Linked DNA regions of Sus scrofa. The protein of the gene in region 3 interacts with the protein of the main gene of each other region in a biochemical or structural test. Links are inferred from orthologs where the notes say so. Each region holds a gene or a part of one and is shown on either strand. Other genes may lie near its edges.

The links.
Region 1: the proteins of UBE2E3 (region 3) and NEDD4L form a complex in vitro, tested with the Homo sapiens proteins (3 studies listed by BioGRID). The link is inferred for Sus scrofa from reciprocal best matches to the Homo sapiens genes UBE2E3 and NEDD4L.
Region 2: the proteins of UBE2E3 (region 3) and RNF25 form a complex in vitro, tested with the Homo sapiens proteins (2 studies listed by BioGRID, with this or other methods). The link is inferred for Sus scrofa from reciprocal best matches to the Homo sapiens genes UBE2E3 and RNF25.

What each region holds. Positions count from the first base shown.
Region 1 is NC_010443.5:162,513,919-162,518,127, forward strand, and holds the start of NEDD4L (E3 ubiquitin-protein ligase NEDD4-like), read right to left. Parts: upstream 2,902-4,209; 5' UTR 1-2,901. UniProt on the Homo sapiens protein: E3 ubiquitin-protein ligase that mediates the polyubiquitination of lysine and cysteine residues on target proteins and is thereby implicated in the regulation of various signaling pathways including autophagy, innate immunity or DNA repair.
Region 2 is NC_010457.5:120,714,153-120,716,823, reverse strand, and holds part of RNF25 (E3 ubiquitin-protein ligase RNF25), read left to right. Parts: intron 1-105; coding exon 106-180; intron 181-419; coding exon 420-522; intron 523-614; coding exon 615-682; intron 683-786; coding exon 787-856; intron 857-2,577; coding exon 2,578-2,649; intron 2,650-2,671. UniProt on the Homo sapiens protein: E3 ubiquitin-protein ligase that plays a key role in the RNF14-RNF25 translation quality control pathway, a pathway that takes place when a ribosome has stalled during translation, and which promotes ubiquitination and degradation of translation factors on stalled ribosomes.
Region 3 is NC_010457.5:86,554,386-86,558,040, reverse strand, and holds part of UBE2E3 (ubiquitin-conjugating enzyme E2 E3), read right to left. Parts: intron 1,628-3,655; coding exon 1,495-1,627; intron 1-1,494. UniProt on the Homo sapiens protein: Accepts ubiquitin from the E1 complex and catalyzes its covalent attachment to other proteins. In vitro catalyzes 'Lys-11'- and 'Lys-48'-, as well as 'Lys-63'-linked polyubiquitination.

The DNA.
Region 1 (4,209 bases), on a different chromosome or scaffold from region 3:
TGAAACAGCACCTTCCCAGCTGCTGCTTTTCCATCAGACAGGAGTGGCCCCAGCAGGGAGCTCTCACAGCTGACTAAGGCAGCAAACACACTCCGAGCCATGCTGCTATAAATCTAACCGCATTGGCGCTCACAGGACACTTCTTTCTGAACCAAGCAGGGCCCCGGGACTCTCCAACCAATGCAGGAGAGAGACCCGGCTCCTAACACAGAAAAGCGCCCATAGTATTCCCCCACCTACCCCACCACCTTTCCCACGAAACCAAACGTTGTTGAGTAAAAATGCCGGGGCTGCAGGAAAACCCTTTCTCCAGCAATCGGATGTTATGTTGCCCTGTTATTTATGATATCACCACACTACCATGATGGAATGCAAACTAATAAAACGTACTATAAATACGATTACACACCCCGCCATTTAATGCTAAATAATTAGACCATGACCTACAAGTAACAAAATAGCTAAGTGGAAAGGGGCACCGCTTACAACACTCCCCAGCAGTGGTCTGCCTCTGGTTACGACGTTTTTCATTTAAACGATGGGGGAGGGAGGTGCTGGCGGCACACCATCTCACACATAATAGGATTCTCGGACATGTTAGTGACCAGAGAAAAAGAACCCAGCTGGAGAAAACATTCTCTCCCATATGCCAGATAGGAGAGAAAACAATACCCCCGCCCCAAAAAAAAGGAGAAGGAAAATTAAAGGGTATGCATGTGGTTTCTGTAATAAGTTAATTTCAATACCATGCAGGAAAAAAAGGCTGACTGGAGCTGGCTGACTGTTTTCCAGTAAGAAGCCAGCAATATCAGCCCAGTTGGGAAACATAGAATCTTGACATTTTTGTGAAGGGTCAAAAAAGACCTAAGTAATAAAAGTGAAAGTCCACGTTCAAAAAGCTGTCATCGGATTTGTAGCTAACTTGGATATATTCTGAGTGTTTTAAACATACTCTTTTTCATTGTCCTGAAACACGAGTTATTAACAAAGAGGCTTATTTCGGAGGAAGTAAGAAGGGAAGGGATGTGGGAATACCAAGCTGCAAAAAGTGACAAAAAGTTTATTTTAATATATGTTGACTTTGTCAACAGCTCTGGAGTCCAGAGTGTGGAGGATTAACCTTGTGTTTATATACATCCAAACCTGTTTTCTAAAGGCATGTGTTTTAAATGCCAAAAATGATCTCTATGAGAGAAATGGAAGCTAGTTTGTTTAATGTGAAAACTGCCAAGTACCACTATAGTCACGTAGTGTCTCTGCTGGATTAATAGCCAACAAAGAAAAAACCACCAGCAGCAGCATTCACGCATAGTAACAAGGATGCAGACAGCCTGGGGCAAAGCTAGGTACATAAAACAGTTTTTCAGATAAAGTTTCACATGAGATTTCTTAGAGCTCTGCATTCAAAGCCCTATTCGGCTTGGAAGTATAAGTTTTAGGCTCATGGCAAGGTCCTCTCAACAACAGTGATTCTTTTAGATAAGGGAAATGGGAAACATTTTTTACAGAGAATTTCTTTCAATAGAAGAGTTAAATGAGTTAAAACACATCTGACAAGAGACAGTTTTTTCCACAAAGCTGACCATTTCTTCACCTTGAAGAAATGTTGTAAGACACAATAAAAGAGAGAGTAAGGATTAATCTGTGGCTCCATCTGTGGACTCTGGGACTCTGCTGAACTCTGCCCAATCGGTGTTTCTGGACAGGAGATGGAGCACCAAGAACTACACCCTCAAGCAGAATTTCTCATTTGATTTAACAGCAAAATAACTTCGTGCACCGGGCAAAACTGATTTAGCTATTCAGTACTACTAAGCATCACCCAAGGTATAAAATGTCAAGTTCAATGCAAAGCCGCCGAGAATCCGTATATTTGAATAGAAAATATATCAGGATGGTAGGCCAGCATCTGTTGCTTTCTAATTTGGAGAATAATTCCAGGCATAGGAGATCAAATATACTCCTAGGTTCAATACTAAGGGTTAAGGCCTGGCTATTCACCACCAATGGCCTGAGACTTAATAGACGGGCAGGTATGTAATTACATCAAGGCTCTAGATCTCAGTTCTCTCACATGCAAGGACAGGGAATTAAATGAGTTGTATTATAAGCCTCCTCCAGATCAAATATTCTATTAAACTCAAGCTATTCAAAAACTTGGAGTTTCAGGTGACTTCTGCAGAAGGAAGGATTCATAATAACATTTCCTTTAAGCAATTAATACATGGTTGGACTCCCCCCCCCACATCTGCAGGTTCTGTATTCACGGTTTCAACCAACTGCAAATCAAAAATATCTAGAAAAAAAATTCCAGAAAGTTCCAAAAAGCAAAACTTGAATTTGCCTCATGCAGGCAACCATATATAAGTATTTTTAACCTATAATCTATACAACATATTAGTACTAGTTTTATGCCTTAGGCATACCTCTGGTTCTTTGAAGGTACTTTCTTTGAATTTCCCTTGAGAAAGCACCGCTTTTAAAATACAGCTTAATTTTACCTGCTAAATATAGATTCACTTTTTGCTATATACTGTTAATTAGATTTCTGTCATCCCAAAGAGATTCACTATTGAACGTGTCACAGTCTCAAAGTCTGGCTTACATATAAAAATCCTGAAAGGTTTATTTCCATGAGTAATGAGATTTGCCCACCTCTTTGTATCCCCAACAGAGGAGTATAAGCATATATGGCTTGATATACCACCAGTGTGATGGTCATGAATATTAACTATGATTAAAAACTTACACAGGTACAAATAAATTTTGTCCTACCCACACAAAAATATTTGTTTGAATTACGAACATTAAACTAGTAATGGGACAAAAATAGTCTTTTTGAGGGACATGTATGCTGTGAGAAATAAAACACATATAGACTTTTTAAAGATGTGCTGAAAATTCAATTTTTAAAAAATGAAGCAAAAATTAAAAATCAGGAACCACTTACCAATCTATTTTCATCAAATACTTCAAACAAGAGTCTGTGATTAGATGGGTTTACCTGTAAGGGACAAAAATAATAATTGTTACTATTGATTTATTCTGAGGCATGTGGAAGTTCTGGGGCCAGGGACTGGACCTGAGCCACAGCAGTGACAATGCTGGATCCTTAACTCACTGAGCCACCAGGGAACTCCCAGATAATACTTTTAAAATGAGCAGAAATAATTCAACGAATGAAAAAAGAGACTGAAAGAATAAAATGCTTTTTAATGCACTCAAATCAGTTGTACAATATAAGCAATCTGCTCTTATGAAAATCCTCTATATACTAAATCAAGTTTTCTATGATTGATCGCTATATTATTTTACACCTAATATTTAGGCCTATAAGAAGGAGAAAATGGTTTAAGTCACTTTTCTAATGCGAGAAAGGATATTTCTAAACAGTTTCTTTTAAATTTATTTTTCTAGATAAACTTTTATTTTTAAAAGTTCCTAAGTCTCCGCTAAAAAGGCATCCTCATGCCTGTAGATCAAGGCTACATCCTCACAAAGGTCTATGTCCGAGGAAACCTCTAAGGCCTAAAAATAACAGCAATGATAAAAAAAAAAAAAGAATAAAACAGTAAAAGCATGTAAATAGTTAAAAAAAGCAAAACAAAACATTCCTATTGCATGTTTCCTTTTTAGGCACTATCTTCTTATTAAATATCAAAAATACATCATCTCATTTATTCTCAAAGCAACCCTATGATGTATAATTGTCACCCCGATTTTTACAAATGAGAAGCCGAGACCAGAAGGGTTAACTAACTTGCCCCAGAGCCCATAGCTGGTATGCAGGGCAACCAGGATCCCCATCAGGTCTAGCCTGCTCGTCTCCAAAGCCCACTCTCCGGACCATTAAAGAGACAAGGAAATAAAAGATGGTTCTGTTTCCAGCAACTGCGGGGTCAGTGTCAGAGCCACTAGGCCATGTCTGGTTTTTGCTTTTGTTTTTGTTTGTCTTTTTCGGGCTGCACCTGCAGCATATGGAAGTTCCCAGGCTAGGGGTCCAATCAGAGCTGTATCTGCCAGCCTACACCACAGCTCACAGCAATGCCAGATTCTTAACCCACTGAGCAAGGCCAGGGACTGAACCCGTGTCCTCATGGATATCAGTCGGGTTCATTACTGCTGAGCCACAACGGGAATTCTAGGTGATGTCTTTTTGCTTCTTTCTGTCTCTTCACCCAGACTTCACTGAAATAGCAGGAATCATCA
Region 2 (2,671 bases), about 34 Mb from region 3:
ACTCAGGCCGATTGCCATTTTTCTGCAGAGCCAGTCTTCAGTGGCCTTGGTGGGGTTTAACAGGGAGAGCTGTCATGGTGAGTCAGTCTCCCCCTGTCTCTCTAGGGTCCTTCCCTCTGAAGTTGAAGTGTTAGAGTCAATCTACCTGGATGAACTACAGGTGGTTAAAGGAAATAGCAGGTATGTATTTAACTAGAGGTGGGCAGGAGTCCCCTTGGGAAGGAGAGGACTCCATGAAGTATCTGAGTGCCTGGATTCAGATATTTCTGTCATGTAGACAAAGACTATTCCTTTAATGCCCCCCAAGAAAGAGCCCGATGCTTACTTCCTCTGGCCGCTTTCCTTTCTCACCACCATCCTCCCCAGCCCTCAAGCCCCTGCCCAGTCACATCCCAGGTCTCCACTCCATCCACCTGCAGATCGTCACCGTGGGAGATCTCCATCACCCTGCACCCCGCCACTGCCGAAGACCAGGATTCGCAGTATGTCTGCTTCACTCTGGTGCTTCAGGTTCCAGCACAGGTGAGGCCTCGACTTTATGGCAACAATGGGAGGCAGGGGAGAGGCCCCAGGGTGAAGTGCTTTGGCAGTAACTTGTCACTTTCTCCTCTTAGTATCCCCATGAGGTGCCACAGATCTCTATCCGTAACCCCCGAGGACTCTCAGATGAACAGATCCACAAGTAGGTCGGGCTGGTCAGCGCAGGGGAAGCTTGGGATACAGCCCAGTCTGGTGAGGGCAGGCGGCAGGCCTAATGTTTGCGTTGCTGTCTCTCTCTCTCTCCAGGATCTCACAGGCGCTGAGCCATGTGGCTGAGGCTGGACTGGGTACGGCCATGCTCTATGAGCTCATCGAGGTGAGAAGTGTGTTAGAAAAAGTCCTTCCCTTCCAGCGAGAGCAGTTTCTTTCAAGGGAGACCATGGGCCTGGACTCCACCACATCTGGAGACATTCATTTAATTATTGTTTAGGTAAAGCCTCAACTGATCCAGAGACATGAAATGCTCTTCTGTTACAAAAAGTCTCCCCGAAAGACAGTTCTTTCGCTTTGCCAAGTTAACTATTCCAGCATCTTTTTGAAGTTTTAGTGAAATATAGTTGGTTTACAGGGTTGTGATAACTTTTGCTGTATATTCCAGCATCTTGACAGAAAATTACTTCTCCTCTTTGACTTGCATCTTTTCTTGCTGCAGTGTCAGTGCATTTCTTGTTCTCTTGGCGTTGGCAGCTGAAAGTAGTAAGAGATCTTGCCTAGAGCTTCTAGCCATAAGTGAACACTTGACCTTGGTTCAGCTGGACCTTGGCTACAGGGTCTAGCCGTAAATGAACATTTGGAGGCTAGTTGGCCATTGGCCAACTAGAAGGTCTTGGTTCTTTTACTCAGAGAACCCTAGTGAAGGAAACGACCCACAGGAAACCATACCTAGAGCTCTGAGTTAAAATACACAGGTAACGTTGGTTGTTTGAGATCAGAAAATACAAATACAGTCTTGTTTTCCTCTGCGTTTTTGAGAAGATATGCAGAAAAGAATGAAGGTGGGCGGCCTGGAGTCCAAGTGGGCAAAGACCACTGTAGCGCTTCTGAGTCAGGCCTCCACAATGCAGCTTTGAACTTGGTGGAATTCCAGAGTATTAGCTATTCAAACAGTATCGCAGATGCATATTTCATAGCTCAGCCCAATGCCTTGTGAATTCTCTGTCCGTTTGGGGTGTCAGTGCCTTCACTTTCTTTCTGAAAGCTGACTCCAGAGCAGGGGGATAACCCGGAAAGTCCTCCCAGAGGATATGAGTTTTATTTGAACATTTTTTTTTCTCTCTAAGGTGTTGTATTTCCATCCCCAAGATGTATAAACGGTGACTTAATGAGTAGGAAAACAATGAAACTGGATTTTGCAGCTGGGCAGATTTGGGGGGAGGGCGAGGATGTGGAAGAGGATTAATTCCAAGCAGAGGGAGATCACCAAGACAGAAATAGGAGTTCCTATCGTGGCTCAGTGGTTAAAGAACCCAGCTAGGATCCATGAGGATGCCAGTTCGATGCCTGGCTTCGCTCAGTGGGTTAAGGATCTGGCATTGCCATGAGCTGTGGTGTAGGCCGGTAACTACAGCTCCAATTGGACCCTTGCCTGGGAACCTCCATGTGCCAACGGGTTCAGCCCTTAAAAAAAAAAAGAAAGAAAGAAAGAAAGAAAAATCAAAACAGAAATGCATGAACACGGGGAGTTCCCATTGTGGCTCAGCCTGTTAAGAACCCAACTAGTATCCATGAGGATGCAGGTTTGATTCCTGGCCTCGCTCAGTAGGTTAAGGATCCGGTGTTGCTGTGTAGGTTGCAGATGCAGCTCAGATCCTTTTTTGCTGTGGCTGTGGTGTAGGCCGGCAGCTGCGGCTCTGATTTGACCCCTAGCCCAGGAACTTCCATGTGCCGCAGTTGCGGCCCTAAAGAAAAAGAATCGTGTGAACGTGAGATAAATTGGCTTGGTGGGAACAGTCCAGCAGGTCACTGCTGGGAGAATGAGCTTTGCTCATAGTTCTGGCTGCCGCCTCCCTGTTTAAACAGTGTCTTCTCTCCCCGCAGAAAGGGAAGGAAATCCTTACAGATAACAACATCCCCCACGGCCAGTGCGTCATCTGCCTCTATGGTTTCCAGGTGGGTTTCTCTCTTGGGACCT
Region 3 (3,655 bases):
CTGTTGTACCTGAAGCTGTAAAAGCTTCAGCCACAAATACTTAGTTACAATGGAAAAGGCATTCAATTTTGTATAAGGTATTTGGAGAGAGGTAACATTCACATAACTTGTACTACCGTATATTGTTATAATTGCTCTACTTCATTATTAGTTATTGTTAATTTCTCACTGCACCTAATGTATAAATTAAACTTTATCATAGGTATTTACGCATAGGAAAAATGGCATTAAATACGGTTCGGTACTATGCGTGGTTTTAGGCATCCACTGGGGTCTCAGAATGTATCCCCAAGAGTAAGGACGACTAGAATTGTTCTAACATAGCACATACTAGTTACACAGAGCTCTTAAAAGGTGGCTATAACAATTAATTTAAGCACTGAATGCAAACTGAATAGTGATATACTGGCATTTAGAATGTGTCATTTGGAATGTGAACACAATTTGCAATAAGACAGTCATTTCAAGATCTTAGATTCTGATGGGACCACATAGTAAAGCACTCAAAAAATAGTGATAGCTATACTTAAGAGCAAATACCTCTTGGTGATAGGGAACCTCGGTGTCTGCAATTTAAGGTAAATACCACTAGGTGGAAATGTTGTTACCTTATTCAATAAAGCAAAACAGAAAAGGTCTGCCTTCTTTTTTAAAACAAAATAAACCCTTTATTTTTACACACAAACACAACACACATGCACCTGAGTGGAGGCATTAAATCACTACATAAATGTTAAATAGTAGAGGGAATATAAGGAACTATGTTGAAAAGAAAAACATTTTATCAAAGTTAAGGGCTTGATAACACTGACATAACAAGGTTCTAATTATGCTCAGGCTTAATATCGGTGGTTTTTAACTGTTGTCTTGACCATTTTATAGGGGGAAGTCAGAGGAGAAAGCTAATCAAATAATTACTATGTTTAATACTTGAAAATTAATTGCCAGTCATCACAAGGCACAGCTCAAACATTCTCTCTTTATCCACCCAGTTCATATTCAGAGACAACAAGGAGGCATAAATAACCCAGCCATCTTCATTCCCATTAATTCATCATTACAGAGGGCACAAAATTAGTTTATTAAATAATATTAGTTCCCTCTTCTTTGCTATAGTTTTCTAGTTTTTTTCTGATCTATAAAGATAGGCTATTCAGCACAAATTTATTTTAATTCTTATTTCCAGAAGCGGTCAGATTTACTTTTTATCTCAATAGGTTCCTTACACAAAGTTCACAGGATTTTTTTCTCTCATAAGTCTAAAATTTACCTGCTTACTGATGTACTAAGTGGCATACAATTAACAAACTCTTGCTGATTACAAAGTTATTTGTGAAAGAAATCAATTACTTCTAGTTTTAACATTCCTGGTTATATGAGCGTTTCCAAATGAAAAACAATCAAATAAAAATAACTGCATCCACACATTTAACTCTAGAATAAATTAATTTTGGAAAAGAATGAACATTAAAAAATGCACTTCCAGGTTCTTACCTTTGGTGGTTTAAATGGATAATCAGATGAAAATGTGATATCCAGAAAAAATACACCACCTTCATATACAGAACCTGGTGGACCAAGTATAGTCGATCTCCATTCATAAATGTTATCTCCTTTAGGCCCAGCACTATTTAAAAGAAATTAAAAATCAATGTGTACATCTGTGAGCAATGAATATTAATATCTTAAACCAATTAAGTATCAAAGGCAAATTAGCAATCTAGAATAAACAGTAAATATATAAAAAATAAGCCCCAACTAACTTGTGCACGCATATGTATATAAACATGTTTGGAAATATTTCTAACTTACAGAAAAGCAAGAACAAGGAACACCTGTTTAACTTTATCCAGACTCTCCTTCTGTTAGCATTGTGCTCCATTTGTTCTATCATCTCCCTCTCTCCCTTCCTTCTCCCCCTCCTAAAATACATACACCCCACCAAACATATACACACACACACACACACAAAGCACACACACCCCACAGACACACAGAAAAAGTGTTTTTTTTCTGAGCCATTTGAGAGTAAGCTGAATATATCATGGCCCTTTCCCCATAAATATTTCAGTGGGCATTTTCTACAACCTATAATACAACTGCAATATAGCCATAATTTCAGTAAAAGTACAATCTATATGATATCTATAATCTGCAAAATAATTTTGTCAACTGACCAATAATGCCCCAAAAGATTTTTAGTTTTCCTTCAGATACATGATTCCAGTCTTGGTATTGATCGTCTATGCCCTTCCTGTGTCTTTAGTCCCCTTTAATAGAGAGAGCCTTTCAGTCTTACTTTGCCTTTTGTAATATCAACATTTTTGAAGAATGCAGTTCTTTTAATGGAATGCTCATCATTGTGAACCTGTCTGATATTTCCTCATGATTAGATGCAGAGAGTGCATTCCTGGCTAGAAGAGTACATAAGTGATGCTATGTTCTCAAGGTGTCACATCCAGAGGTACAATGGTGATGTTAATTTTCATTACCCAGATCAAATGCTGTCCCATTCTCCTACCTCTTACTTGGTATCTTTCCTCTGCAACCAATAAGCAACCTTTGGACACTTTAAGACCATGCAAATACCCTGGTCTTCACCAAATTTATTCCCCGGACTTAACATCAATTTGCGATTCTTGGTTGAACTAAACTTCATCATGATAGTGATAAAATCATCATTTTCCAACTTCAGCATTCCTCCATATTTACCAGCTGGCCCTTGAGCCCTCTCTTTTCCTGTTTGTATAAAAATGTGTTTTACAGATGAAGTTTCATGAGTTCCATTTTTTTTCCCCTAATGATTTAGAATTCTTACTGCATTTAATTATTTTGATGTTCAAACTGCCCCATATTTGGCCAGTGGAAATACTTTCAAAATGACCCCATATCGTTTTTTGGAACACTTCCTTATTTTCTGGCATAAATATGTTCCACGTTCCCACCCCTGAATCAGCCATTTCTTCAAAGAGCTGTGGTTCCTTTTAGTGAATGTTGTTCAAGCTAGTACCAAATTCCAAGTACATTACACTGTGTTCAAAACTATCATTTAATTTATAATATACAATGAGATAATTCAAATTAAATCCAAATTCAGTTGTTTGTAAGACACATCTAATATTCCTTAGACCCTCTTCAAATGTACATTACAGATTTCCATTTTTCCCTCAATTTTACATCACAGATTAACTTGTTTTTCTGAACTACGGTATATATAAAGCTTTTCTTAAGTGACCTATCAGTTTAGAAATGATCTGCATGTTTAGTTTAAAATAAGTGCATATCAGAATTGATAATGCAGGAGTTCCCGTTGTGGCGCAGTGGTTAACGAATCCGACTAGGAACCATGAGGTTGCAGACACGGCTAGGATCCCGCATTGCTGTGGCTCTGGCGTAGGCCGGTGACTACAGCTCCGATTCAACCCCTAGCCTGGGAACCTCCATGTGCCACAGGAGCGGCCCTAGAAAAGGCAAAAAAAGACCAAAAAAAAAAAAAAAAAAAAAAAAGAATTGATAATGCAACTGCATTAATTACAATAGGACATTCAGGTATAGGTTAAATGATTTAACCACATCTTATTAATTCTATAAAACATACACTGTAGACTGTAAAGATCAAGTAAGCAATGCTATCAATAATCAAATCTGTGCCCTG